Rhinolophus ferrumequinum: one gene and its partners. The protein of the gene in region 4 interacts with the protein of the main gene of each other region in a pairwise test. Links are inferred from orthologs where the notes say so. Each region holds a gene or a part of one and is shown on either strand. Other genes may lie near its edges. The genes, in order: RAB33A, NDN, USP2 and CCDC136.

Region 1 (7,831 bases), on a different chromosome or scaffold from region 4:
CAAACCCCTAGGGATGGCACTGGTAATTAAGAGAGTAGCCCCAAATATGCTAAATCAGTCATCCCCCTGTAGGGGTTGACATAGTGCTACTCTGGGGCACAGGGAGGCAGCCCAGGAGACGCCACACCCTACTCTTGAACTGAGAGAAGAGCTCACTGAGCCCTCTCCATTTTCCTGCGAGGACTGGCATTTTATAGCCTGACAGCCTTTCATTGCTGGCTGTGGTCTAGGGCCACCTCAGCCTGTCAGACTGGACTTTTCTCTCTTCCCCAAAGGGAGAAGCCTTTGGCAGTCACCTCCTAGCATGGTTTTGGTACTTGTTCCTTGAGAAACACCAGGCCATCAGAGTATGGGACCAAATCTTCTTAGATCATGCGCTTGCTGCTATGTTCTGCCATCTTCCCACAGACATGCTGGGCCTGCCTGCTGGCTTTGGCCCTGAAGTTGCAGCAGCTTTACAAGCGGCAGGGTCCCCATCTCCCCACACCCACATCCCACCCTGAGCTCCTTCAGAATCTGCTCTCAGAGGGCTCCTTCATATCACCAAGTTGAAAATATCACCTTCCTCTGAAAAACCTGTATTGAGCACTTCTCTGCACGTGGTGTCCTGCTGAGCTCCGTTTCTAGTGAGTCACACTGTCACAGGCACTGCCCCCTGGGAAAAAGTCCAGAATCTTTGGCAGAGACTACAAAATCCAGTTTGGCTAGGTACTGGGCTGTTGGAAGGGAAGGAACCTTTTAAAAATTCCCCTGAGGTCACTGGGTGATGACCCTCTTCCACTCGTTTTTCACCTCCCATTGTCCAGTTTCTAGCTTCCTTCTCCCCCAGACTCCCAAACACTTCCTTTTTCCTCCCTGTACATTTCAGGTGGACTCATTTCCCCTCTTAAATCCAGAGAGCTGTTTGGCTCAATGTGAAACTTGATTTTAAACAGGCAATAGCATTAAATTTTAAGGGTCTTGAGTGCTTAAGAGCACAGCCGTAAGTATATTTCTACTTTGGATGCTTTAGAAATTCCAGAATCTTACAACTTTACGTAAAGAAGCTAGACACCCTAGAGAAAGTTCTAACCAAGGAAATGTCAACATAAAACCCTGGGAAAGGAGAAAAGACAGATACTTACTTTGACTTTAAAAAGAAAATGTAGGAATTCCCCCCAAAATGTAAGAGGCAAGAAATATCACTATTTCAAAACAGTGTCCTATATTCCTGACCCTGGGGTTTCGTTGTTCTCGAGAACTTTCCCTTACCAGTACTGCAATGCCCATCTTCCTGACATATCTAGTGCCTTGGCCAGGTTTCTGAAGCCATTTTAAAACATGTTCATTTTAATAATCAAGGAGTCTGTACAGTTTACAATGTTCCACATTCTCCCCAGTTACTCAGCCCTTCTCTCCACCTCACGCCTGTGGTCATTTGAGCTGTTTGACCAGCAGGAGGGAGGTTTACCTTTGCAGGACAGGGTCTGACCATAGGCTCAAGAAAAGGCCTGTTGTGGGTCTAGTGGAGTTGGTCTTTAGTGCCCTGTCTTTTGAAGTGACTTTCCTGCCCATAACCCTGCCTCTCTCTGTTCCCCTGACACATTAAGCTGCCCTTGTCATGTCCCCCCTCCCGCTAGCCTCTGCACATTGAAATATCCTGGTCCTATCGAGTTTGCACTGTTGATGAACTGAAAGTGAGTACAAATGGTCAGACAAGAATATCTGTACTTAGCTGATCTCACAAACTAACGAGAGGGTAGGAGCAAGACACTTACTTCCCTTGGCCCTCAGAGAAGTTGCTCTGCATTTTTACAAAGGCCTGCTGAAGACAATACCAATAGAATGAATAATGGCATTAGGTACCCCAGACAAATAAAGAAGATATCATTTGAGGGGGACTGTTCCAAAAGAATAAGTTTTGTCTATTATGGAGGGCTGGCAGGTGACCCTGTCTCAATTTCTTTAAAAGGGCTCATGACTTTGTGCCAGAACCACCCCACTCCACCCCTATTCCAGCTCAGCCATAATCTTAGCCATAAACTGTAATTCTCTGTGGATTTCCATTCTTTCCTCCCCTGTAATGTCTCAGGGCTTAACCAAAGTGGGTTTTTGCACCCTATTGGCACCCAAGAGGAAGAAGAGACCTCAAGATGTGTAAAGTGCTTTGGGATCCACCCCACAGAGCAGGACCAGGTTACCTCATACCTCCCTCTGCCCACAGGTGCCGCTGCTCCTGGCTCAGGGTCAAGGATGGGATCTCACATGCTTTTCCTGGCAGGAGCTGTCAGGCAGGGACAGAGGGCATGAATGCACCCTCTCCGGCCTGCCCTAAAAAAAAACGGGCAAGGTGGGAACCAGGCCGCTGAGAAAGGCGAAAGAGGATGAGGAGGTGCTGAGGGTCTAGGGCTCAGCAAGCAGCGACGCAGCCACGAACCTGACCAGACCGTTCACAACCACTAGAGCATGCGTCAGGCGAGGACCCCTCCCAGAGCCCTCCCTTCCCGGACCTGACCGTCTGGATCACCTTGATCTTCTCGCCCTCGATTTCTACGGTCTTCTCCCTGAAGTCCACACCGATGGTGGCCTCAGTCTTGTCCGGGAAGGTCCCCCCACAGAAGCGGAAGGTCAGGCAGGTCTTGCCCACGTTGGAGTCACCAATAACGATGATTTTGAAGATGCGAATCTGCACGTACTGGTCCAGCGACGAGTCAAGCTCCAGGGATGCCAGGCTAGCTGCCGAGGTGGGCTGCAGGCTCCCATGGCCCAGGATGGGCTGCGCCATCTCCCAGGGACCGGACCGGGGCCCCAACCCTCCTGGTGGGCTCCACACAAAGAAAACGGCCACGTTAGTGCGCTCCAGGCGAGCGAGCTTTGTGCGTGTGTGTGCGTGTCCGTGAGTGTGTCCGCGCGTGTGTGCGTGCGCCGTCCCCGTGCGCGCGCGCGCGCGTGGGGTGCCTTTCACCCCAGGTCCCCCTCCTCCTCTTCCTCCTCCTCCTCCTCCTCCAGTGCACCCTCCTCGCAGCTCGGAGGCACCAACACAAAAGCCAGTCAGGGGAGGAGAGATGGAAGAGAGACTGCAAGGCACGAGCCCTCTCCTTCAGCCTTGCCCTCGGAGGGGCGGGTGGGGCGTGCGACCCCGCCTCCACCGCTGCAGCTGCCGTGGCGCCTTGGCCTAGACCCTCCCCTGTCTGGACCCCAGGGACACACCACAAAGAGGAAGCTTACAGAGGAAAGGAGGGTGGGGAGAGCGGCACACACCACCCCGGGATGGTCCTCCTTTCTCCATGACCCCATTTATTTTATAGATCTCAGGCTCCCCACCCCCATTTTCTCGGAGCGCACGGGGGTCCGCTCTGGAGCATTTCAGCCTCGGAGCAACACCACTTTACTCGGCGGGGACTGGGTGCGGGGAGGAGACACCTCCAGAGCTGCAGGCAGCTGAGCTGAGCCTCTGCAGCTTCCTCCCAAGCCTTGGGATAAAGGGATGCTCTGTTTTATTGAGGAAGCAGGTGCACTCGCGCGCGCGAGGAGCCAGGGAGGGCGCCGCCAATACACGCTGCAGGGCACCGGTGTGCATGTGTAGGGGGAGTTACTGTTTCTCTCACAGACTTGCCAGATGTGTGTGTGGGGGGGTGCGTGCCAGGCGCCAACCTTCCCTCATCACACCAGGAACACCCATCTTCTGAATGTTCAGAAGAGCGGCTCCCATTGGCTGCGGCAGTCAGTTGTGTTTGACTGGCCAATGGGGAAGGCCGGCCACCGGAGGGAGCCATACAGGGGGTAGGAGAAGCGGGGAAGCTAGTGGTGGCAGCTCCAGCAAAAGGGGACTTTGTTTCTGGGGCTAACCATTCCAAGCCCAGGTGGAGGGCTCTTGGGACAAGGCATAAATCTCACAGCGTCTTGCATTCCAGAGCCCTCCATGTAATCATAAGTCCTTCCAGAATGGTGGAGTTTCAAAAGGAATTGGAAACCCCTAGGAGGGTTCACCCCTCTGCAACTGAATGTAGAACAAAGTGGTTGGGTCTAATTTGTTAAAAGCCTAAATTATGCTTGGAAAATGATAAATGAACAGAACTTTCTTCTGGTAGTGGGGAGCAGCTTCCCCAAGCTTATTAAGCATCACACATCTTGGTCAAGACCAGTATTCCCTTTCCCAAATGTGATTTGCAGGTTCACAATTTCTTTAAAATAACTTGACTGAGGTACAATTTCCACACAATAAAGTGCACCACTTTCGTGTTTGCTTTAAGACTTGAACCATCCTTCCACATATTTCATAGGCTAAGGTAATATTAACATATGCCAGTAGCACTGACATGAGTTATTTGCTAATGTCATCAAGGTCAGGGACTCCAGCAAGACACATGAGCTGCCATCTTACTTGTGTGGGGCTCAGCTGCAGAAGAGACAAACATAACTAAATCCATTCCCACTGTGAGAAAAACAATTCAGTGCATCAGTGATAGGTCTGTAAACAAAGTGGAATATGACTGCTCAGCCCAGTCCAAGTTACTCAGAATGGCTGGGGAAATGGGGTCTTCTAGTTATACAGTGTTTCCCCGAAAATAAGACCTACTCGGACAATCAGCTCTAATGTGTCTTTTGGAGCAAAAATTAACATAAGACCTATTTTAATTTTTGCTCCAAAGGACGCATTAGAGCTGATTGTCTGACTAAGTCTTATTTTCGGGGAAACAGGGTAAGCTTTTTAGTTGAGTTAGCAGATATATTTATAGCTAACTCTTTTAGCATATATGTGGGTTACCCATTTCTAAAACCCTAGATCATGCTATTCAATATTAAAACCATCTCAAGAAGGATTTAATCTTAGTTGGATAATCCAAGGTCATCATTATGAATACCAATTATCATTATACAGTGGGAATGGCAATCACCATTGTACAGTATTTTTGTTTTTTATGATTGGTTGATGTCTAGATAATAGTTTGCAGCATCATTGTCGTCTGTATTTGAAGCTAATGCTCCTGGTAATCATTATCTACAGAAGAGCAGCTATTAAAAGGGGGGCAGGTAACTATGAATTAGGCATATCCAACAGGTAGAGCGGAAAGAAGCTTTGCCAATTTATAGCCAGACTTAATGCTAACTTTCTAATATAAAAAAACTATATTCACATAAGATTATTTAGATGTACTAGGTTTACAATTAAGTTTGTGAACTTATTGCAACGATGTTGCTAACATTTTTTTATTTTATTTATGAATACATTATGAATTTGTACCAGCTGGACAGTTAACCAAGTTTACTATCGGGAAGTGCTGAAAAGGCTGCGTGAAAAAGTTAGACAACCTGAACTTTTCGCCAACAACTCAAGGCTCTTACATCACCACAATGCACCAGCTCACAGCACACTGTCTATGAGGGAGTTTTTAGCTAGTAAACAAATCACTGTATTGGAACACCCTCTCTACTTACCTGATCTGGCCCCCAATGACTACTTTTTTTACCCAAAGATAAAGGAAATATGGAAAGGAAGACATTTTGATGACATTCAGGACATCAAGGGTAATACGAGGACAGCTCTGATGGCCATTCTAGAAAATGAGTTCCAAAATTGCTTTGAAGGGTGGACTAGACGCTGGTGTCGGGTGCATAGCTTCCCACGGGGAGTACTTCGAAGGTGACCATAGTGATATTCAGCAATGAGGTATGTAGCACTTTTTCTAGGATGAGTTCGCGAACTTAATTGTCAGACCGCATATGCTTCCAGCAAAAAACTCATCACTGAGTCTGAGAGTTCACATTATATTTGTAAGATAGAAACACTAATTTCTGGAGACTTGATATCTCAAAGTGGGCCCCATTTCCTAATAAAAAGTGTTTGTTACCTCTGTGGGATGAGATTTTGGGGAACTTCCACTTATATTTTTGGAGTTAGTTTTTGATGTGTGTATATTGCTTTTACAAAAAAAGATGAAATATAATTTTTAATTAAAAGGACAAGAAATCTACCTCATTGCACCTATTGCAAAAATAAGTTAAAAGTGCTGTACAATGCCTTTTCTTTGTTAATTGTGCATCATTAAATGCACAATTGACTGTCTTTCAAATTTACCCAGTTGTTTTCATAGGTACCTTATCATCATAATTTTGACAGTGTTTTCCAAAGCCTCATCCACCAACAGATATGATTAACTTTTTATTTAATCAATCCATGTTTATTATTGGCTTTTAGAAATAGCAAGAAATATCAACATCTGTGAAACTTTTAAAATACTAAATATAAATATTTTTTTTACCTTATTGTGGAATTGACATTTTCAATATTTATTCCCCAATGCAGCCCTAGGGGAAAAGTTGCCCACTGCCTGCACTTCTGAACATTACTCTTAATGAGCAAGGGATCCCTGGATCATTTTCACCGAGTAAAGACTGCTTTCTGGGTTAAACTTCCTGAAATGCCTTAGTAATTTCGTTCTCTATCCCTATTCTACTGAAAGCCAAAAATAATGTCATCACCTACACGATTGCGGCCAAACACTTTGGCTAGTTCAAATCTGGCTCCACCATATTAACCTGTCCTCATTTACTTCCTAGTATGTACTCTCTGCCATTGTCTCCTGAAAATGAGCTGGGTTTTGTTTCTTTTATACTTCCAAGCCTTTTGATTTAAACAGCATGGTGCTTCCTCTAAGATGCTTTATTTATGAATATTAGCTCATTTAATTTTCTTATCAACCCTGTGAGATTGGTAGATGAGGAAAGTGAGACACCGTTAAGTGACTTGTCCAAGTGGCAGAGCCAGGATTCAACCTGGGGCAGACTGGATCCAAAATCAATGGTGTTTAATCACTAAAAATATTACCTTCGGTCCCAATGTATTCACCATCTGAAATATCATTTCTCCTCCTCCATTATTTGAATTTCACTACTCATCCTTCAAGACAGGCTCAAGTAATACTTCTTGCTTGAAGTCCTTCCTTAGCTATTTCATCTCATATTCTTTTTTCTTGCTCTTGCACTACATCAGATATTATTATTTAAAATGACCAGTGTATGTCATCTCCCCACCTGGACAGTGACCACTTCCTATATTTTTCGTATCCCCTAGAGCTCTTTTCATATAGTCCAAATGGCAAGTGCTCAATAAATACTTGTTAAGTGAGTATGTAAACCAAAACTTTGAAAAAGGCATATGTTATGTTTTGCATACAGCCAAAATTTATTTCCAATTTAGCTTATATTTGATAGCCAAAACCCCTATTTACACTCAGCCCCGCACCCTACTCCTCCCACAACTCTGAAAGTCCTGCTTAGGCTTTCTCTCGCAGAAAGTCTGTGAAGCACGAACGCTTTTTGCCAGCACCTGCTCTCAAAAAACGAAGTCATAATAAAATAGCAAGAGACTATCCACAGCATCTGATACAGCACTTAGGACTCAGAATTACACAATATAAAAGCGGTATGGGAAAAGAGAGCGCGGAATGAAGACATGCCCCAGAATAGTGGTAAAGTGCCCAGAATAGGGGTTGGATGGGAAGGCAATTTGTAAAAGACGGAAGTCCAATCCGAATCTGGAAAGCCAGGAGCCCCGGCTCAAATCTATGGAAAGACTGGAAGTGGACTACAGCTAGAGAGAGAATCCGGAAGGCTTAGTACTTAGTAGTAGCTAGTGGCCTAAAACAGAAAAACAAAATTTGGTGCTGAGGCCACGCTTTTTGAGGTGCTATTAATATCAGTTCCCAACATCGACACAGCGGCAGCACTCGCCACAAACAGCCAGGCAAATCAGCCCCACGGGTCCCTCCTTGGACAGCTTTTCAAAGTCGCTGAGCCGAACATACTGCCACCAACCCGTGAAAACTAACAAGCAAGCCCAGGGACTTTG
Region 2 (6,535 bases), on a different chromosome or scaffold from region 4:
CTCTTAGCAATATCTTTTTGGATATGTCTCCTTAGATAAGGGAAACAAAAGAAAAAATAAACATATGAGACTATATCAAACTAAAAAGTGATGGAAACCATCAATAAAACAAAAAGACAACCTACTGATTGGGAGAAGATATTCACAAATGATATATCTGATAAGGGGTTGATATCTAAAATATATTAAGGAACTCATACAACTCAATAACAAAAAATAAACATCCAATCAAAAAATGGGCAGAATACCTGAATAGACATTTCTCCAAAGAGGACATACAGATGGCCAACAGACATGTGAAAGGATACTCAATTTCACTAATCATCAGGGAAATGTAAATCAAAACTACCATGAGATGTCACCTCACACCTGTCAGAATGGCTATTATTGAAAAGTCAACAAACAAGTGTTGGTGAGGATGTGGAGAAAAGGGAACCTTTGTGCACTATTGATGGGAATGTAAATTGGTGCAGCCACGATGGAAAACAGTATGGAGGTTCCTCAAAAATCTGAAAATAGAACTACCATATGACCCAGCAATTCCACTTCTGGGCATTTATCCAAAGAAAATGAAAACACTAATTTGTAAACATATCTGCACCACTATGTTCACTGCAGCATTACTTACAATAGCCAAGACGTGGAAGCAGCTTAGGTGTCCATTGATAGATAAATGGAGAAAGAAGATGAGATGTGTGTGTGTGTGTGTGTGTGTGTGTACACACGTGCACACACGTGTGTGTAATGAAAAATTATTCAGCAATAAAAAAGCATGAAATCCTGCTATTTGCGAGAACATGGATGGACCTAGAGTGTATTATGTAAGTGAAAGAAGTCAGTTAGAGACAGACAAAAATCACATGATTTTACTTATATATGGAAGTTTAAAAAATCAAAGCAAACGAACAAACAAAACAAAACTAGACTCACAAAAACAAAAAATAAACTGATGGGGGTGGGTGGGTGATAGGATTTGTCACAAAGGTGAAGGGAAATATCGTCAATAACAGTGTGATATAGTCAATATTGTCAATAACGGTGACAGATGGGTACGAGACTTAGAGTGGTGATCATATTGTAACGTATATAAATGTCAAATCACTATGTTGTACACCTGAAACTAATCTAAAATTGTATGCCAACTATACTTTAATGTAAAAAACAACGGATAAAGACAGCACAAAAAGAGATCACTACAGACCAATATCCCAGAAGAACACACACACAAGAATCCTCAACAAAATACCAGCAGATTGAATCAGCAATATGTAAAAAGAATTACGCAACACAAACTTGAACGCAGGTCTGTTTATTTGACAGGATTTATCATCAAGAAGAAATGTCCCAGAAACAGATACAGTGAGGAAATCCTATATGTCTGGAAAGAGGCCTGTTGGTTCAGCTCTGTCTTTCTTCCTTCTCACTTGTTATTTTCAATGATTCTCAACAAGAAAAGGTACGGCCCATAAAAGGGCTTTTGGCACTGTAGGGGGAGGGCATCTTTTTTCTCTTCTTACACTTTCTGTTCTGTCCATGTCAGAAAGACGTTTACATGTGTGTTTACGGGGACCAAGGTGTCAATCTCTGTGGTGTGTGTTACATTTTCACACAATGAAAAATTACCCCACCCTCGCACCACGAGCGGTCCCCTTGAAGAATTCTGCTCTAGATGCTCTCAGGGTGACATTATTTACCGTCTTACCTCCCAAACCTCACTTTTCAGCCCAGGCCTCTTTCCTGAGACCTATATATCCAGATATCTGCAGGGCGTGTCCACTCTCTTCTCCGAGTAGTCTCAGGAAACAGTGCCTCCATATCCTAGCCGCGTGGCACTGGTCGATCCCGGCCACCCCGAGACAGAGTCTGGTCGTCCCCGGCACTCAGTCTCCCCTCGCATCTCCTTATTATCTATATCTTCTCTGCCATCCCTGCTCGACACTGGTTCCCTTTATTCTCTGCTCTGCCTCAATATCATGGCTCCTTCGTGGTACGCATCACACCATGATTATTTAATTACTCATTTGTTTCTTTGCTCGGGGCCCTCCCCCTCCACCATTTCCCCTCACGATACACTGCAGAGACCAGGTCTCTTCTCGTTCTATACTCAGGCACAATGCCCGAAATGTAGGGTGTAGTAAATAGTTGCACCCTCCTTTCCAAGTGGAGTCCCGTGGAAGGTCTCCAAGGCGGTCTCTCTACCTCTCCTTCTCCACCTGCCCCCAGCCTCCATCCAGGCTTCACTCTGATTCCAGTTGACCTTTCTGAAGACACCGACCCTGTCCGTGCCTGAGTGTCAGTCCCTGTGGGTCCCTGTGGGTCTGGGCGGGACGAGAAGCTCTCACATTTCAGTGAGTGTCCTTGGGCCTCAGTTGGACAGGCATGCAGTGTCACTCTAGGGACACTGGAGTGGCTGAGGGGCCAGGCTCGAGTCCCCTCCCTTCACCTCCCAACTGTAAAAAACAGCCCTGCCTGGTCTCACATCTTATTCTTTTCTAAGAAAAAGTGGCCAGGCTGCAAACAGTCCCGATGGGTTGTTTTCCACCCCCCGAGAACGAGCTACTTTTCTAAAATGAAACTCTCAGGCACATAACAGACGTTGCTCAATAATTGCTGAGCACGTTCATGCGAGTTATCTTCCTCAGTCCTTCAGCCTGCATGTGGGGCCCGTGCGGGACTCAAGGTTGAGTGTGCTGCCTGTGTGGACAGGATGGGGCCAGAAAGAGTCACATTTCACGCGGGGCCTCTGGGCCTCTGTGCTGTGAGCATGCGTGCTCTCCCCCGGAGGCTCCAGGGTGACCCCCCTTCCTCTGTTCACTATGGAAACCAGTGGCAGGACAGGCCTCTCCTCCCGTTCCCCGAGTCTGCCAAGAACAGCCTATCCCACAGCTGTGTAATCGGTTCCACATTATAGAGTTTGAAGGAAGCCACCAGCAAAACTGTCTGCACCAGAAGATTTTAAGTGGTAACTTCTCCATAGACTTCCTGCATCCATGAAACTAGATTTACAGAATCTAGATTTTAAAGGCAGCCCTTCACGAGTTTGCTTGGGGAGCTTTTTTGTAAACTTTGAGCATTTGCTTCTAAGATGCTGGCGGGGAAGGACTCATTGCCCTTATCAAATAGGGCCAACCTGGGGAAACCCAGCAAGCCTGATGAATCCTCAGAATTCTCAGGGCAACACTGGATCTCATCCCCAATCCTTGACCTTGAATTAAAGGAGTTGTAGAAGCCTCATGAGTACTGGCTTCCTCTTCTTCCCCTCCCGTGGTGTCATCTGTCCCCTTCCTTATGGTCACGAAAGTCTGCATCTCTGGCTTATGGGTAGGCACCTTCTTAGGAAGCCATCAAGCTACTGACCCCTCCCGTGACACACGTGCCAGTGCATTTTCTCTACTTAAAGGTGGTCCCAAGCTTTACATATTTCCACGTCCCTTTACAGGAACTTTCTTGTTGGTGGGCAATGGAGCCTCTTCAGCAGACCTCATCCTCGTCATCTGAAGAGGCGTCCAGTTGGGCTGCAAGCGTGAGCATCGCTAAGGGTCTACCCTGTACTTGATTCCAAACTTGGGATTCGGTTCCAATACTCTAAACCCTCCGAGCACAAACTACACACCCTGACACAGTCCTAGCCGGCCCTCCTGCCAGCCGTGAGCTGTGACGGAGCTGTGGTAGACACGAGGCTCCACTGTTGGCCAGGGGCAGCCTCACCAGAATGAGGCGCAGTCCAGCTCCGGCAGCAACTGAATCCCAGGAGGCTGCTGTCTGGCCTGAGCTCTGAGAGCTCCCGAGCAGGACATCTTAAACGGTTGTAATTGTCGTGCTTTTATGAACATTTTCATAAGTGCTTCTATACATGTTACATACCCAAGGTGCCAAAAACATGTATACACATGACTTGTATTCATCTTTCGTTATCAGCCTATATTGAGTACTACAATTTTAATACAGTGCTTTTCCTTTCTTAATATGTGTGTGTATATATATTTGTCAGGAAACCCACCTTTACACAACAGCCGACGCCTTTCTCTGGGGCGCTTGTATCTAATCTGCTTCTGGATGTACCTTGTTAAACGTTTTCTAAGAAACTCAACCTCAGCATCTCAGAAGTTAAGTTCTCATCTTTCTGCTTCAGTTTGCTCCTTCTCCAGTGCTCACCCTTCTCCGTCCCCAGACGTGCTTGGCGCCCACAGGCCACCCGGGGGTCACTGCTGCCCTTATCCCAGCTGCCCTCACCCTCTCAGGGGGCTCGGGGGACACCCGCCCCGTCGGGCTCCCCGCCCCACCCCCGGCAGCCGGGCCCGCGGTGGCGGACGCGCAGGCGCAGTGGCCGCCCGCCGCCGCCCCGCCCCTCCTGGCCTCTGCGGAAGGCGCCGCGCGCAGCAACGCGCACTTCCTCTCCAGGAGTCCGCGGAGGGAGCGCAAGCTCGAAGAGCTCCTGGACGCAGAGGCCCTGCCCTGGTCACACAGAGCCGACATGTCGGAACAAAGTAAGGATGAGTGCGACCCCGGCTTTGCAGCCCAGGCCGCCACCTGCGAGGTGCACGGCGGCAGCGGGGTTCCCGGGGGGCCCTCGGCGCCCGCGTCTCAGGCCGCGACCCTCGCAGGGCCGGACAGCCCCGCCGCAGGCCCGAGCGACGCCCCTGTCGCCTCGCCGCCGCCCCAGGCCCCGAGCGACGAGGCCGACCCGAAGGCCCTGCAGCAGGCCGCGGAGGAAGGCCGCGCCCAGCAGGCCCCGAGCGCGGCCCAGCCCGGCCCCGCGCCGCCCGCCCCGGCCCAGCTGGTGCAGAAGGCGCACGAGCTCATGTGGTACGTGCTGGTGAAGGACCAGAAGAGGATGATCATCTGGTTCCCAGACATGGTGAAAGATGTCATCGGCAGCTACAAGAAGTGGTGCCGCAGCATCCTGAGGCGCACCAGCCTCATCCTCGCCCGAGTGTTCGGGCTGCACCTGAGGCTGAGCAGCCTGCACACCATGGAGTTCTCGCTGGTCAAAGCGCTCGAGCCCGAGGAGCTGGACAGGGTGGCGCTGAGCAACCGCATGCCCATGACAGGCCTCCTGCTCATGATCCTGAGCCTCATCTATGTGAAGGGCCGCGGCGCCCGGGAGAGCGCGGTCTGGAACGTGCTGCGCATCCTCGGGCTGCGGCCCTGGAAGAAGCACTCCACCTTTGGCGACGTGAGGAAGCTCATCACCGAGGAGTTCGTGCAGCAGAACTACCTGAAGTACCAGCGCGTACCCCACGTGGAGCCACCTGAATACGAGTTCTTCTGGGGCGCCCGCGCCAGCCGGGAGATCACCAAGATGCAAATCATGGAGTTTCTGGCCAGGGTCTTTAAGAAAGACCCCCAGGCCTGGCCTTCCCGATACAGAGAGGCTCTGGAGGAGGCCAGGGCGCTGCGGGAGGCCGAGCCCACTGCCCACTGCCCCCGCAGCAGTGTCTCCGAGGACTAGCAAGGTCTGGAGGCAGATTCCTGGTGTCTGACCCTCACCAGGGTGGCGGGGCGGGGGTGGGTGGGCGGTAGCGTATTCAGGATTTCCAGTGCAGTATTTCACGTGTAACTTTTAAGTTTTCAGTACAGTGCTTTTATACCTTTTAATGCAATGTTGTATTCATTTCAGTACTATTAGGTAGTGGGTAGGACTTCTGCATGTTTGTTTATAAGTAAGCTCGGTCGGTGCTTTCGCTTTTGTGCTACCTTTCTTGAATTTTTGTACCAGAGATGTGCTAAACTTATGAAATACATTGAGAAGTTTTCCATCTTATTCTTTTCTATGGAACGGATGATGTGTGTCTCGGGTAGACTGCCCCGGGGAGGCAGGAAGAACTCCCCAGTAAAGCTGGCCTGACCAAGAGAAAAGTCAAGGTCCCCTCAGTTAATGACCTCGCGGGGCACAGGAAACACCCGTGCGGAGTGCGCCGGTGTGGTCTCACATGGTCTCAATGTGGGCACTTGGCACAGTTTACTAAACACAAGTACAACCCCACCATGAGTAAACTTGCAACATTAAAGATTCTTGTGATACAATCATTTTTGGAAAAGTGTACTTTATCTCTTTCACAATGTAAGTTGGGAGTGAGACGTTTTTCAAAATGTACAAATACCATAACTTTTTCGTCTACTAAGGTGGGACAGTCACGACTCATCGTTACTCCTAAAAGTGTGAACGCTACAGTTTTATTGTTTAAATGTAACTCACAGGTTCACGTCAAAACTTCGACAACTACAGAAAAGTAGAAAAACAAGAAAAAGAAAGCAAACATGCTCATAATCACACCACGTAAAAACCACTGTTAACGTCCTCTCTTGAATTTTGTACATTTTATTAAAATTAATAGCTGTGTTTTGTGGGCACTTAAAGAGGGAGGCATTGTACTAAACCCTTCCCGTGCATTTGCTCCTTTGATTGAATCCTCACGACGGCCTTATGAGACAGGCTTTCATTACATCTGCCCCGAGCAAAGTCGGGAACTAACTTTCCCTGGATCCGAAAGCTTAGTAAGAGGAGGAGCTGGGATTTGAACCCAGACAGAGT
Region 3 (7,432 bases), on a different chromosome or scaffold from region 4:
GTGTGGAGGATGCAGGTAGAATGGAGAAGGGGAACGGGGATATTTGTGCTCACATAATCCAGGAGCTCTGTCTAATTCTCTCAGGCCCCCAGGAGCCTCAACCTGTCCCCTCCCCTCCAGCCTGTCACTAGCAGCTCTGTCTCTCAGGGGCTGGCACCCAGTAACCCACCAGTTTAGTGCCTGATTGTCTTGCATGCCTTGGCAGGGGGTCATCCAAGGAAATTTGGGTCCATTTCTGTCTCTTGACTCCCACTAGTTGCCCAAGGGCTGGGAGAGGGGCAGAAGAGATAAAATAAAGAGATTAAAGATTAGAACAAGAATTCTGATTGGTGGAAAAAAAGTGGGTGGGCCTAGGATAGTGTCCCTATTGGGCACTTCCTGATTTGGGGTTGGGAGGGGGTAGGCATCCTAAACTTCCAAGAAAAGACAATGAAATGCCCCTCCCCCCAGCCTCAAGCAGTACTGGAATCCTTAAATACCCTTTTCTAGCCACCTCTGTCCAGGCACTCTCCTGGTGTCCCCTCCCCAGGGGAGAGTGGCTTTGTCGTCAGCCTCTAGCCTTTGGTCTTGCCCACAGCACCCACCAAGCCCAGTGGGGCGACCTCTTAAATGTTCCCCCAGTAGACAATCTGTTCAGCGGATCTGCAGAGCTCAGATACTGAAGGGGCAGCTACTGACCTGTGTCCGGGGGCAATGGACAGGATCTGGGGGCTTCTCCTTCCCCAGCAGGGCCAGGAGCGCAGTAGAGAGCTGGGAGACTGGAGTCTGACTCTGGGCTGGGTAATCTGGAGCTCAGGTTACTGACTCTGATATATATATAGTATCTTATCTGACCTCAGAGGGATGGCTAGCTCAACTCACTTGCATTCCAAACCCGGGGAGAATTAAAGGGGCAGTGACAGGCCCTCTCTCGAGGGTCTGCCCTGATGGGCCAGCATGCCAGGCAAGGAAATCCAAGAGGACTCTTTGAAGGGGGTCATTCTGACATGGAACAAAAGAGGGATTCAAGGGGAAACAACTGGAAAGAGGGCAGAGGGATGGGGCTGGAATTGAGGCAAAAATATGGAGAAGGAGGTGTCAGTCACAGAATTAGAGAAGAGGAAGAGGCCACAGTGCTAATCCAGTTCCTTCAGTTTTGAGATGCAGAAGACCTTGAGATGGCCAGCAGCTTGCTCAAGGGCGCACAGACAGTGGGAGGCAGGAGGGACAAGCTCTCAGGTTTTCAGTCCAAACTCTTTTATAATAGACTTCTAGGCCTGGGCTTGTATTCCAGTTCTTTCTCTTTTATTGACTCTGAAACAGTGGGCAAATCACTTAAGCTGTCTGAATCTTAGTTATATAATCTTTAAAACTGGAGTAATAGTCAATAATAATGCTACACCTCAGTTGTATTAGATAAAATAATATTTGTAAATTTCCTCGCGCATACTAGGAGTACAATAAATGATAATTATACTGAATACTTCCACTTATCATACTTAGTGGTAGTATTTGTAGTAGCATCTCCCAAGTAAACCAGAGAGAAAACCTCTGGTTCAGAGGATGTGGGGCATTACCCCTCCGAGTGCCCTGTTCCAATGACAGAGAACAGCCCCAGGCTTTTCTGAGCTTGTCCATGTCCCATAACTGGCAAGGGCAAATGAGGTTTGCTATATTCCCAGCTGTCCACCCCACTCAGCCAAGAAGGGCCAAGCCCATTTGGGCTCCTTTCCCCTTTGCCTGGAAAAATATAGCAAATGCGGCTTCTCCCAGGCTACCAGGAGAAAGCCCAGCTGCTCTGGGGTGGCTCCACTCTACCTGTAGGAGTGCTCAGGATTCCAAGGCCACAGAACTGGGCTGGTCAGGGTCATAGGAGGAAGGAGCTGGATTCTTAACCTCTTGGGCTTTGGTGCTCTTGTTGGCTCCCAGTCTGTTTCTCGATGGTGCTCTCTGCGGACTGGGAGTCCCCAGGCGGTGCCTCCACCCTGTTTCAGCAGAGACTACTGACTCAGCTTGGGTCCTGATGATGCACTTCAGAGGATGCCCTTGTCCCCGGCCCTCATTCCAGTCCTCATGATGATTCCAGGTTGGCATGCATCTACAGCATCAAAGGAGTAGGGGATGCCCCAAGCCCCAGCCTAACCAGCTTTCCTTTCCTCCACTTTATAGGGTCCAACTTGGGGAACCTTCTCATACCCTTGCTTGGGGAGGTGAGCATCACTACAGTCTCCAACTTAGTCCCATTCTAGAAGCAGCCAGGTCGGGAAGTCGATGTTCTCTCCTCAGAGAACAGCTAGAATGGGATGGCCATGACTTGGCTTGGCTAAAGTTATTTGCCTTGGAGCACGGCACCTGCATCTGGTTTGGGATTGTTGAGATTTTTCAAAGATGCCTCTTTCTGGTTTGGATTTGGTGGAAAATCTTCCCTTTCTACTTAACTGTTGCCCTCTCCCTCCCCCACCTCCTTTGGCAAACTGAGCAGCGGCAGCCCTCCCCACCAGGGAGTATGTGAACTGCATGCACACCTGAGGAAGGGACTGTCATTGTCCAGGAGGCACTCTCAGGCCACATACCTCACGGCAGAGACCTGGACCTGCCGAAGCAGCATTTCCTTAGAACACACTGACCAGCACACAGATGGCTCTTCCTGGCACCCTGGGCTGTCAGTTGGCAGGTTCCCCCCCCCCCCCGCGACACCCCCCCCCCACAACTGGCACCCGCAGCTGGAGCTCCTCCCAGTAGCTGGCACTCGCCCTACATTTCTAGTAGCCATTCTGCCTAGGCTGTCGTTGACACCTCACTTTCTGAGTCTCAAACGGCACTGACCTCTGCATCCTTCCTCCCCAGCCTCCGACAAGTGGCATGTACCTGCTTCTTCTCACACGATGGACGAGTCGAGCCGGGCACAAGCATGGAGCTGCGGGTGAGTCCCGGCTGGTACTGGCGCGGCGCAGTGAGCAGCTGACGCTGAGGGCTCCCTGGCCTTGGCTCTTGCTGGCCTCTCCTCCACCTCCGCCGGGGGCCCAGAAAGGACCTCCCCGGGAAATCGGTGCCACCCAGCGGGCAGCCGCCTCATTGCGCCCGGGCAGGCAAAACCGCACCCCACGTTTGCGTCACTGAGAAGCGTCACGGCTATTGGCTTGTTCCCATTATGGCGTCATTAGAGCCCCGCCCTCATAGGGGTCTCCCTGGCAAGATAAATGGAGAACCACGTGGAGGAAAAGCTTGCGAGTTTTGAGGGGGATGAGCACAAAAAGAAGTGGAATGGAATGTCACACCAGGGGGCAGCTGGAAGGTACTGGGAAAGTTGTGGGGAGAAGGCCCAGAATTTGAGCCACCTGGCATATATATCAATTTTCAGTTTTTAGGGAGGGGCCGGGAGAAAGCCTACTCTTTAGCCTCTTCTTTTTCTCTACTCTTAAAGACACTCCTCATTTTACTAACAGGAGACCATCGATCGGGATGACTTCTTCAGTGGGTAAACAAACGGAGGCACTGAGTCAGTGGAAGGGATTCTCTTTGGTCTTTTAAGAAAAAGCTGAGACAGAACTTGAATTTTTGACATTCCCATTCTTTATTTGTAAACTTTCCCTCCTTTACCCATGAAGGTGAATAAAAACACACAGCCAGGTAGATTGGTGTCAAGGCAAATCCAGGTTTTCAATTTCACCTGGATCATCAATCCTAGAAAAATAAAGCCAGTACAACGCGCACCACCCCCACTCCAGGAGAAAGTCCAGCTGCTTCGGAGTGGTTCTACTCTATCTGTAGGAGAGCTCAGGCCTTGGCTCCTGCTTAGCTCCTTCTCCCATTCTCCACTGCTATTATTTCTGTCCATTACTATTCTCCTTAAGTCCTTCCGTGTTTTCTATTTTGCAGAGAAATTATAGGCAATCAGGAGACAAATACTTAAATTTCTGCCTACAAACATATATGAATCCATTCTTACCTCTACTTAAGGTAAAATGTGGTGTGTCTCTTCTTGTTCAAGACAAATCCCTTCTGGGTCTCAACCCTTTGTTTCCTTAGGGCCCTTATCTGGTCACATTCCACATATGGCTATTGAACGAGCCAGGTGCTCTTCTAGGTTTTGGGGATACAACATTGAACAAAACAGGCAAAATCCTTGCCTTCAAGTGGCTTACATTCTAGTAGAGGCAGAAGGACAATAATCAAATAAGTAGGATATATAGTATGTTAGATGACAGTAATAGCTATGGAGGCAAATAAATCAGGAAGGGGGATATGGAGTGTGTAAAGTATGGTCAGAGATGGCCTCAATGAGAAGGTGACATTTCAGTGACCTGAAGGAGGTGAAGGAATGAGCCATCTTGATATCTTGGGGGATGATGCTCTAGGCAGAGGGAACAGTAAATGCAAAGGTCCTGAGGTGGGAGCATATTTGCCACTTTTGTGGAAGAACCAGGTCAGTGTTGCTGGATTAAAGAGAGAGCGAGAGAGTGGAGATGGGGTCAAAGAAAAAAGGGAGGGACTTCAAATTGGCTCTAAGGCCAATTTGATGAGTTTGGCTTTTACTCTGAGATGGGAGCCGTTGATTTTGAGCAGAGGAGGGACATGGATCTGACTTTTTTTTTTTTTTTTTAACAGAATCCTTTTAGCTGCTGAATGGAGAACAGATCTGAAGAGAGGCAGAGAAGAAGCAGGAGACCATTTAGGAGGTTCCTGCAATCATCCATGAGAGCTGATAGTGGCTTGGGTTAGTGTAGTGAGAGGTGGTGAGTAGTGGTTGGATTCTGAATGTATTTTGAATATCCTGCCAACAAGGTCTACTGTGAGAGAAAGGGAGGGATTTTTCGCCTAAACGTTGAGAAGGTGTAGGCTGTGGAAGGAGCAGGTTTTGGGGTGGTGGGAGGTCACGAGCTTGGTTTAATACATATTAAGTTTGAGATGTCTATCAGGCACATCAAGATGTCAAGAAAGCGGTTGGATGTACAAGTTTGGCTAAGTCTGGGTCAGAGATATAAAATTGAGAGTCATCAGCATATGGATGTTATTTAAGACCATGAGCTTAGAAGAGATCACCAAGGGAGCAAGTATAAATAGAAAGATGTGCAAGGACTGAATCCTGGAGTTCTTCAACATTAAATGACTTTAGAAATGAGTAGGAACCAGCAAAGAAACTTAGGAATGGCCAGTGACATAGGGAAAAAACAAATCTAGGAGATGGTGATATGCTGGAAACCAAGAAAAGGAAACTTACCAAGGAAGAAAGAAATAGAAATTTTGTCAAATGCTGCATGTAGGTAAAATAAGAAGAGTCTGAGAATTGATTTAGAAGGTTGTTGGTGACTTTGACAAGAATAGTTTTGGTGTGTGTGGGAGTGAAATCTCGATTGTGGGTGGGTTCCAGATAGAATGGGAGGAGAAGGATTGATACAGTACTGTGTAGAGAATTCTAGAGTTTTGTGGTAAAGGAAGTAGAGATTGGGTGGGTGCTAAAAGAAATGAGGTCAAAAATATTTCTTAAATGGCAGAAATAGCTATATGTTTGTATAGCTGATGAGAAGGAGCCAATAGAGAGTGAGATTTGATAATGCTGGAGAGAGAGGAGAGTAGCTGGAGCAATGTCCTTGATGAGGTAGGAAGGGATGGGATCTAGTACAGAGTGAGGGCCTGGCTTGGTTAGGGGCACAGAGAATTCATCCAAAGGAAGAAGAGAGAAGGCAAAATATTTGCAGGGAGGTGAATGGATGTGGTAGAAGCTAGTGGAGATTCTCTCCTGGTGGTCTCTTTTCTCTCAGTGAGTTAGGAAGCAAGGTTAGCTGAGAGTGAATCAAGGATAAAGGAGGAAGTGTTGGAAATTTAGAGAGAGAGGAGGAGTTGTAAACCAGCCACCTAGGGTAGTGGTTCTCAAACTTGATTGGGTATCAGAATTACCTACAGAGTCTGTTAAGGCCCCACCCAGAATTTCAGATTCTGGAGATCTGGAGTAGGCCTCAGAACTTGCATTTCTAACAAGTTTCCAAGTGATGGTGGAACAGCTGGCCTGGGAACAGCCCTTTGAGAACCACTGTGCTGGCAAATGGGAGAGAGAATGGATTGTGGAAATATAGTAGGGTTGTCAGGCATCCTCAAGGGCCATTAGAAATCATGTATTGAACTGTCTCTCTTCAGCATTTGTTCTCATGTTCACAGTCACTGTCTGTCACAGGTTCAGTCTTGTAGCTTTAAAACTTTCATTTTCTACTGACATTCCCTTTGACATATAATAGTCTCCAAATTCTTCCTCTTTGCAAAATAAAAATCTATAGCTTCGGTTCTTGCTCTTTCCTCTTCACAGTTCTCTTGCAAGAGTTGTGCAGGCTGTGTTTCCCCACCTCCCTGTCTGTGCAGCATCCTCATACCTTCTACCTCTCAGACATCAGGAAACTCTTCTTACCCAGTCATTGTGATCTCCTACTTGCTAACTCCAGGAGGCCTTTTTAGTTATAATCAGTTAATTGCCCTCCTCCAACTATTTCCTCTTTAAAGTTCTTTCCTCCTTTAGGTTTTATAATACAGTGCTTTTCTGGTATTCCTCTTGACAGCTCCTTCTCATTCTCCTTTTCCTCTAGTGTTCCTTTATCCTCTTTATTGCTAGTGTAGCTTATAGCACAGTGATTGTTACACAGTAGTCCACTTTATCTGCAGTTTCACTTTCTGTGGTTTCAGTTACCCACGGTCAACCGTGGTCCGAAAATATTAAATGGAAAATTCCAGAAATAAATAATTCATAAGTATTACATTGCCCACTGTTCTGAGTGGTATGATGAAATCTCGTGCCATCCCACTCCATCCGGCCCCGAATGTGAATCGTTTCTTTGTCCAATGTATCCGCGTTATATACGCTATGTGCTTGTTAGTCACTTAGCAGCCATTTCAGTTATCAGATCAACTGTCGCAGTACCACGGAGCTTGTATTCAAGTAACCCTTATTTTACTTAATAATGGGCCCTATGGCCATTCACATAACTTTTATTAGAGTCAATTGTTATAATTATTACTTGTTGATCGCTTACTGTGCCTAACTTATAAATTAACTTTATCATAGGTAGGTATAGGGGAAAAACATAGTGTACGAGGCCTGACAATTAGGTTTGCGAACTCATCCTACAAAATACTGCATACCTCATTATTGAATATCATTACAGTCACCATCAAAGTACTCCCCTTGGGAAGCTATGCACCAATACCAGCACCTAGTCCACCCTTCAAAGCAATTTTGGAACTCTTTTCCTGGAAAGGCCATAAAAGCTGTTGTCGTATTACCCTTGAGGTCCTGAATGTCATTAAAATGTCTTCCTTTCAATATTTCCTTTATCTTCGGGTAAAGAAAGAAGTCACTGGGGGCCAGATCAGGTGAGTAGGGACGGTGTTCCAATAGAGTCATTTATTTACTGGCTAAAAACGCCCTCACAGACAAAACAGTGTCGCGTGAGCTGGTGCATTGTCG
Region 4 (7,326 bases):
AGGAAAGAAATACAAGTCAACCCTGAGAGACTGAAGTGCCAAGTCTGAACAAAGCTTGTACTGCATCTGGATTGATATTTTTTGCATGGTGCTGCTCCTCGAGCAGAGAAATTAAATATAATCCTGGTTTAGGACCCTTGAAATCCCTAGGAAAATATCACACAGCCCCCACAGAAGCAAAGAAGTGTTCTGTAAGAATGTTTTCATAACCAAGGGTATATGCGATTCTCACTAAAAAACAGAAACACAAACGAAAACACCTGCTGAAGAAGAGCTCACAATGAAATATTATAAACTAGACAAGGAAGCAATCCACCGTAAGGAGGAGTCAGCAGATACAGCAAACAGGAGACTTAACACTCCAAAAACTGTGCATAATAGAACAATGTGAAAAACAAGTATATAAGAATACTTAAAAGCATTAAAGACTAAAGATAAGAAAATATACCATAATAAAAATATTGTATGATGAAAAAAGCAGTTTATTGGAGGGCTATAAAACATTAAGAAATGAAAAACATACCATTGAAATTAAAGACTCAGTGATCCATTAAACAGTAGACTAGACCCAACTGGAAAGAGAATTAGTGACTTGGAAGACAGCGGTAATAAAAATCATTCAAAACGGGGGTGGTGAGGGGAAAGTGATGAAATAGAAAATATGAAAGAATAATTTAAAAACATGAGAGAAAGAATAATGTGTATATATATATGTGTGTGTGTGTGTGTGTGTATTTTGCCTTTCATACCATTATATATATATATAAAATAGGAGTTCCTGAAGAATGGGGGAACATAATATTCTAACAGATAATGGTTGAGGATTTTCCAAAATGGAAGAAAGACAGAGTCCTCAGGTTGAAGAGTCCTGAGTTTATAAATACATTGTGGTGAAACTGTAGACTACTGAAGAGGAAGAGAAAACTCTTAAAAGCAACCAGAAAAAAAAGAAAAAGTCATCATTGCCTACAAAGTTAACAATTATATTGGAAGCGGACTTCGTATTAGCCACAAAATTTTATACAAAAAAATAAAACATTTTCAAAAGACCAAGAAAAAAACTGTCAACCACAAATTCTATGCCCACTAAATTTCCATTTAAATGGCGTGACATAAGGACAGATTAACACAAAGACTGAGACTGTTTACCACTCAAACAGTTTCACTGAAATGCCACCGAAGGATATACTTCATAAGAAGGAAGGCGTGGACTCCAAGAACAATGGTGAAAAGAGAAATTTATAAATGTGTTAGTGAATCTAAACAAGCATCGAAAGCCACTGTAAGTAGAGTGTAAATTGGTCCAGCTTCCTGATACAGCAATTTGGCAATAACTAGTACAGTTTACCTAGCAATGTTAAACACATATTCTATGACCAAAAAATGCTATTTCTAGGTATCCACCTTAGAGAAGTGCTTACATATATGCCAAAGAGGCATGCATATCACTGTCTGTGGCAGCATTGTTTATAATACAGAAAACTGGAAACATTGTAAATGCCCATCAGCAGAAGAATGGATAAATAAATTGTGGTATATTCAAACAATGAAATAGTATTCCGTAGTTAAAATTCACAAATTGGAGGAGCTACATGAAACAACATGGATACATGAAAAAAAAAAAAAAAAAGTTGAGAAAAAAGAAAGTTTACATAAAAATGTATACGAAAGAACACCATTTAGATAGGTTTTTAAGCACACAAATCAATCTTCCGTATTGCTTGTGGATGCGTACATATGGAGCAAAACTGTAAAACCATAAATCGAAAGGCTATCTCTGAACCAGATGTGGCAAAACATGAACAGTTGTTGGATTTCAGCAGTGTGTGCATGGGTATTTGTTATGTTATTCTCTGTCCTGTACTTTTCTGCATGTTTAAAAGCTCCACATTTTCTTTCTTTTTAATGAAGGGATCTAGGCAGTTAGAAATAAGGGTAAATGGGGATAAATGGCCACATCAATCCTCAGAGAGGATGATCTGTGGGAAGGGATTAGGAGGGAGGCTGAGTCCTGAGTCCAGGGATTTTGAGGATTAGTGCACATCATCCCCCTAAGCTGATTACCTGGCTGGCATTCCAACCACTTCCGCCCCTTCTGAGCTGCAGCCCAGGGCCCCAGGCCACTTACCTACACCTGCTGTGCCCTTTCCTCCTGCCTCCTAACTTCACCCCACCCTCAACCCAGTGCTGGTCTGGCCAGGGATGGCCCAAATTTGGGTCTTGAGAATAGATTGGCTCAGGTCTCCCCTGAATACTTACCCAATGAAGGGTGAATAGTGACCTGCACCCCGGAAGCCAAGGAGAGATTAGTCTTAATGCCCAGGATCAGAGCTCCCCGAGGACAGGTTGGACCCCCGGACGTCACAGTTGACAATGTCCTCCCCTGCCCCTCCCTCCATCAGCCAAAAAGTTAGCAATCAAGGTCAACTGCTCACTGACCATACTGGCTGAGCCAGAACCACAGCTGTGCTGTGGCAGAACAAATAGCCACTGAGCTTCCAGCATTAGGCTCTATCAGTCCCCAGAGCTCTCTGCACCCCCACCCTCCCAATGCCAGCCTCTTTCCACCATCTCTGACAATTGCCCTGCTCACCAAGTCTAGACAAGCCTGATAGATGCAGCAGACCCTCTGGAACGGGTCTGAGTGGTCTTGTTCAACAGCCTTTCCCCATGACTGGGTCACCTTGACCACAGGACCGGGAGTGAAATCCTGTCATCTGGGGAGCAAATGAAACCTCCTTGACCTGTGCTCGTCATCTCTCAGAGCACACCAGGCTGGAGGTATGAGGGGGAGAAAAAAAGGAGAGGAGAAAGAGAGGGAGAGAGAGAGAGAGAGAGAGAGAGAGAGAGAGAGAGAGAGAGAGAGAGAGAGAGAGAGACTTATAGGGCAACATCATCATTATTAGGTAACATTTAACTCCCTAAGTGTGAAATCATGTTAAATGATAAGACACTATTAACTGCATAGTTGGGAGATTTACCTTTACTCATTTATTCTATGTGTCAGGTACTTTGCCAGATGCTAGAGATAAAAAGAAAAAAATGACTAAGATACTCCCCAACCTTCCAGAAAGTGGGCAAACAGAAGAGTAAACACCTGACCTTGACAACCCAGAGTGACTGGCACTGCCCTAGAGGGCAGGAGGGCAGGGTGGAGCGAGCAGGGGCATCTCACAGGGATGTCAGAGAAGGCTGCCCACAGGTGACCCCGATGAAGGGGTGAAGGATAAGTAGGGGATGCCCAGCCAAAGGAGGACTTCTTTCCTGAGTATTATGGGGGGCTTGTGAAGGTGGGAGATGGGGGGTGGACACAGATAATAGGTACCCATGACTTTGTGAGTAGGTATGCAAGAGAAGGAATTGGTGTGTGTCCCTGGCTTGGGAATCTCCTGGTACTTTTCTGCATCTGCTGGGATGCCCAGGTTCCCAAGTGTGTCACCACTTCTTTCCTGCAAAGATGTGAGAACAACTGCCTTGGGCTCCTGGTAGACATTCCTTGAGTGAATGACTGAATAAGTGAAACCAGCTCTCTGGGCTTCCACCTCTCCCTTTTGCCAGAGTGAAAATCAGCAGTACGCACTCTGAGACGGCTGCACCGGCAGGGTGGGTGGGGGTCGTGGCTTGCAGCCCACGGGGTGTAGGGCCAGTTGGGAAGGCCGAGTGGTGGAGTGAGGAGGTCTCCAGGCAGCCAAGGCTGCGTGGGGCCATGGAGCGGGCGCTCCTGAGGGTCCCTGGTTCTGGCTTGGTGGAGGCGTCAGGAAAGCAGAGAGATCAAGGACCCGCATTTCATGTATTCCGGCCTTGGCTTCCCTGGTCCATTTCTCATGCAGCTCTGGGGAGCGAGAGGCCACTGCGCCGCGCTGGGGCGGCGAAAGGGGGTCAGCGCTAACAACGGAGGTGGGGGCATGGGTCTTGAGTGATGTGAGCGTGTCTACGCGTTTGGAAGGAACAGGCCGGGAGCATTTGTCCATCTTTGACCTTTTCTTCCACCACTGAGAGGGACGGGGACCTGACAAATGGCGCAGACGGGTCCTCGTGCGCAGTCGACTCCAGGAAGGACCCATCACCAGAGCAAGGGATCTTGTGTCTACCTCTTGGGGAGACCTCAAGTCCCGACGAGCCTCGGCCCGCTCGCCCCACTCGCTCGGCGAGGCCACGAGCGTCCTGGGACGCGCTCCCTCACCCTTCCCGCTCCCGCCTGCCCGCACCCGGTCGCGCAGCGGAGCGGGCTTCCAGGCGGCGGCGGACCGCGGGCGGCGGCGGCGTCAGGTGGCCCGGCCAGGCCCCGCCCCCTCGGCCCGCCCCCCCAGCCCTGCGCGCCAGGCTCCGGGTCCCGGCCTCGCTGCTGCGGCGTCTGCTCCCGGCGGCGGCGGCGGCGGCAGCGCGAGAGGCCATGGAGGCGGGCGCCGAGGCCGGCGCGGGAGCCGAGGGCTGGAGCTGCCCAGGTCAGAGCCGCCCCTCCCTCACCTCTCCCCCGCCGCGCCTTCCTCTTCTCCATCTTTCCTCCCTGCAGACCCCCACGTCTTCCCTCCCTCCGCTGCGCCCACCTTCCCCTCCTAAATCTCCCTCCCTCCGTCCCGCCCCTCACCCGGGCCCGGTCTCCATCTTTCCCGCTGAGTCTTCCGCCACCGGCAGCATCCTCTCTGGCAGTTCTTTCCCTGAGCCCTCTCCATCACGTCTCTCCAGCCCAGGGGGCTCCAGCCCCTGCACCCCCGAAGGCTTCTTAGCGCAGGGCGAGGGTGGGGCGGGCGAGGTCCAGGGAGAGAATGGAGGGGAGGGGAGCGGCTCTGGCCCAGACCCCTTCCCACGGCGCCTCCTGCCCATCGCCACCTGCCTCCCCTTCCACGCACCACCTCACCCTTTCAGCCGCTTCTTTACTAGCTTCTGCCCTCTCTCCCATCCTTTCCCCTCTCCTCCTGTCCCCTCTAGGCTAAAGAGACACACGCCCCTTCCGTCTGTGCAAGGGAGAGGAGCCTTGAACGGAGGCTGCTGAGGAGGTTGGGCCGCGCAGGGCGGGGTCCCCGCAGGCCCAGCGCGAGGGGCGGCTGAAGGAGCAGAGTCGCGGTGCTGGGCGGAGTGAGCCGAGCACGTCCACCAGGATTGAAACCCTCAGGGCTCCAAAGGGCTAGAAGGCATGCCAGCCCCCAGCCGCCCCTGGCATCCCACAATCCCTCCTCTCTCCCTGCTCACAGGACCCACAGTAACCACTCTGGGCTCCTACGAGGTATCCGAGGGCTGTGAGAGGAAGAAAGGCCAACGCTGGGGGTCCTTGGAGAGGCGGGGGATGCAAGCTATGGAGGGTGAGTTTTCCCAGAAAGCTTTCTTTCTCTCCCCCTCTTCCCTCCTCCCTCTGATCCCCAGAACTCTGGGCCCTTTCCCCAGTTCACCTGAGGCCCCTCCACCCCTCCTCAGGGTTGAGGATTTGAGGGAGGTGCCCAGCGCCTCCCTTTGGGGCCTTAATCACAAGCTAACCAGGTTGTGTCCTGGGGAAGCTGCCAGACAGAGAAAGGCCTGGTTGGACAGAGCTTTGAAGCAGCCTTTCTGCAGGGGGTTTGTTCTCACTGCCTCTCGACCCAGATCCCAACCTGTCTCTTCTTTTGAAAAGCAGAGAAGTGAGCATGTGAATTGTCTTCCTGGTGTCACCACCACTAACTTTATATGCAAGCCTTGTGCCTTTGGTGCTCTAGGGTCGCATACTGCCTGAGAGAGATTGCCTGGGAGGGGGACAGGTGAGAAGGCCAACCTCCCAACACTCCTGTGACCCCACCACACCCATGCACCTTGGTAGTTGTTGCCAACACCAGGCCCCTAAAAGGATGCTGGTCCGTTTTTCCATGACTTCCTGTGAAGTGTCCTCAGACCCCTGTGCACCCTCAGTGTGGGCAACCCTGTTCCCCCAAAGGGAACAGAAAATGCAAGGGGTCCCAGATGAACCTTAGGCTGCTGTTATCGGAGAAAGTAAGACCAGGGATTCAGAATTTTAAAACAAAGCCAACAATCACCACCCAGACAAGATTTTTGCTATTTGGAGGAACTGCATTGCAGCAAAGGAGGGGGTGCTTGCCAACCAGAGGCTGGGGACCAGCACACCCCAGTTTCTTAATGCATTAAAATGGCACACAAGTACCTCAGACTTTACGCACAAGTACCTCAGACTTCCGCCCTGAAAACTACTCTGTACATTGATCAGCCGCGGGAAAGGCCTCATAACACTCAGGGAGGGGAGAGGAAACCCGCGCCCCCCCCCCCCCACACACACACACTCAGCAGGGAAAAGGAAGGTGGGCCTTGTGGAAAATTTCAAAAAGGCTATTCGATAGAGCACATTTAAAAGGGCCCCCGTTTGTCCAGTAAAACATTGAGACTCGCTTCATTTAGCTGTTTTCTTTGTTTGCCTACTGACAGGCAATGCGATCTTATTACGGAAAGGCTAATTTCTCACAAGCTACCTGGACAGTTTTTGAACTCTCTACAAAGACCCCGACTGTAACTCTTGCCCCATTTGGCCTAAAGACACGTCCAGTGTCTGAATCTTTTCTTGACTACTTGTCCCACGCCCCAGAGACCAGGACTGGAAGGAGTGGGTATTCTTATGCAAACTTCACATGGCTGAGCCAGCACTGAGCTGCTCAGTTTCCCCAAAGGCAGTAATAGGAGGCCACCAGGTGCAGCACTGGTCCAGAAAGGGCCTGGGCGGGGGAATGGGCTACCTCCAAATATGACCCTCACACCTGAGGACTCAGGAGTGCAGGTCCTCCCCAGGGGCTCTTTGGGGGACACCAGGTGGCACTAGTATGCCATCTCTGCCCGGGGACAGTGAGTTTGAGGGCCCTCGGAGGACTGTGGAAAGGAAGTTGGCTCTGACCCCCTGGCGGGATGGGTGTCTCTCCTAGGGGAAGTGTTACTCCCAGCTCTCTATGAGGAGGAAGAGGAGGAGGAGGAGGAGGAGGAAGAGGTGGAAGAAGAAGAAGATCAAGTTCAGAAAGGTGGCAGTGTAGGTTCCCTATCAGTTGGGAAGCACCGGGGCCTGAGCCTCACGGAGACAGAGCTGGAGGAGCTGAGGGCTCAGGTGCTGCAGCTGGTGACAGAGCTGGAGGAGACCCGGGAACTGGCAGGGCAGCATGAGGACGACTCCCTGGAGCTGCAGGGTGAGTGTCCATGCTGGGGCCTGAGGGCTGCGCCCAAATGCTCTATGCTCACCATCCCAGGCCTGATGCTGGCCCTCTCTCCATGCAGGGCTCTTGGAGGATGAACGGCTGGCCAGCGCCCAGCAGGCAGAAGTGTTCACCAAGCAGATCCAGCAACTCCAAGGTAAATCCCAGCCTT

What was found.
Region 1: the proteins of CCDC136 (region 4) and RAB33A interact in binary tests that used the Homo sapiens proteins (3 or more experiments, as listed by UniProt). The two-hybrid records come from large-scale screens. The link is inferred for Rhinolophus ferrumequinum from reciprocal best matches to the Homo sapiens genes CCDC136 and RAB33A.
Region 2: the proteins of CCDC136 (region 4) and NDN interact in a two-hybrid assay, tested with the Homo sapiens proteins (2 studies listed by BioGRID). The link is inferred for Rhinolophus ferrumequinum from reciprocal best matches to the Homo sapiens genes CCDC136 and NDN.
Region 3: the proteins of CCDC136 (region 4) and USP2 interact in binary tests that used the Homo sapiens proteins (3 or more experiments, as listed by UniProt). The two-hybrid records come from large-scale screens. The link is inferred for Rhinolophus ferrumequinum from reciprocal best matches to the Homo sapiens genes CCDC136 and USP2.

Annotation. Positions count from the first base shown.
Region 1 is NC_046284.1:25,857,618-25,865,448, forward strand, and holds the start of RAB33A (ras-related protein Rab-33A), read right to left. Parts: upstream 3,007-7,831; 5' UTR 2,765-3,006; coding exon 2,495-2,764; intron 1-2,494.
Region 2 is NC_046311.1:14,636,321-14,642,855, reverse strand, and holds NDN (necdin), read left to right. Parts: upstream 1-4,347; 5' UTR 4,348-4,474; coding exon 4,475-5,452; 3' UTR 5,453-6,030; downstream 6,031-6,535. UniProt on the Homo sapiens protein: Growth suppressor that facilitates the entry of the cell into cell cycle arrest.
Region 3 is NC_046294.1:88,611,546-88,618,977, forward strand, and holds the start of USP2 (ubiquitin carboxyl-terminal hydrolase 2), read right to left. Parts: upstream 3,023-7,432; 5' UTR 2,848-3,022; exon of another isoform or gene 2,806-2,847; intron 775-2,805; exon of another isoform or gene 679-774; intron 1-678. UniProt on the Homo sapiens protein: Hydrolase that deubiquitinates polyubiquitinated target proteins such as MDM2, MDM4 and CCND1. Isoform 1 and isoform 4 possess both ubiquitin-specific peptidase and isopeptidase activities.
Region 4 is NC_046309.1:17,344,727-17,352,052, reverse strand, and holds the start of CCDC136 (coiled-coil domain-containing protein 136), read left to right. Parts: upstream 1-4,393; coding exon 4,394-4,445; intron 4,446-4,929; exon of another isoform or gene 4,930-5,134; coding exon of another isoform or gene 5,135-5,192; coding exon 5,193-5,300; intron 5,301-6,893; coding exon 6,894-7,148; intron 7,149-7,236; coding exon 7,237-7,311; intron 7,312-7,326. UniProt on the Homo sapiens protein: May play a role in acrosome formation in spermatogenesis and in fertilization.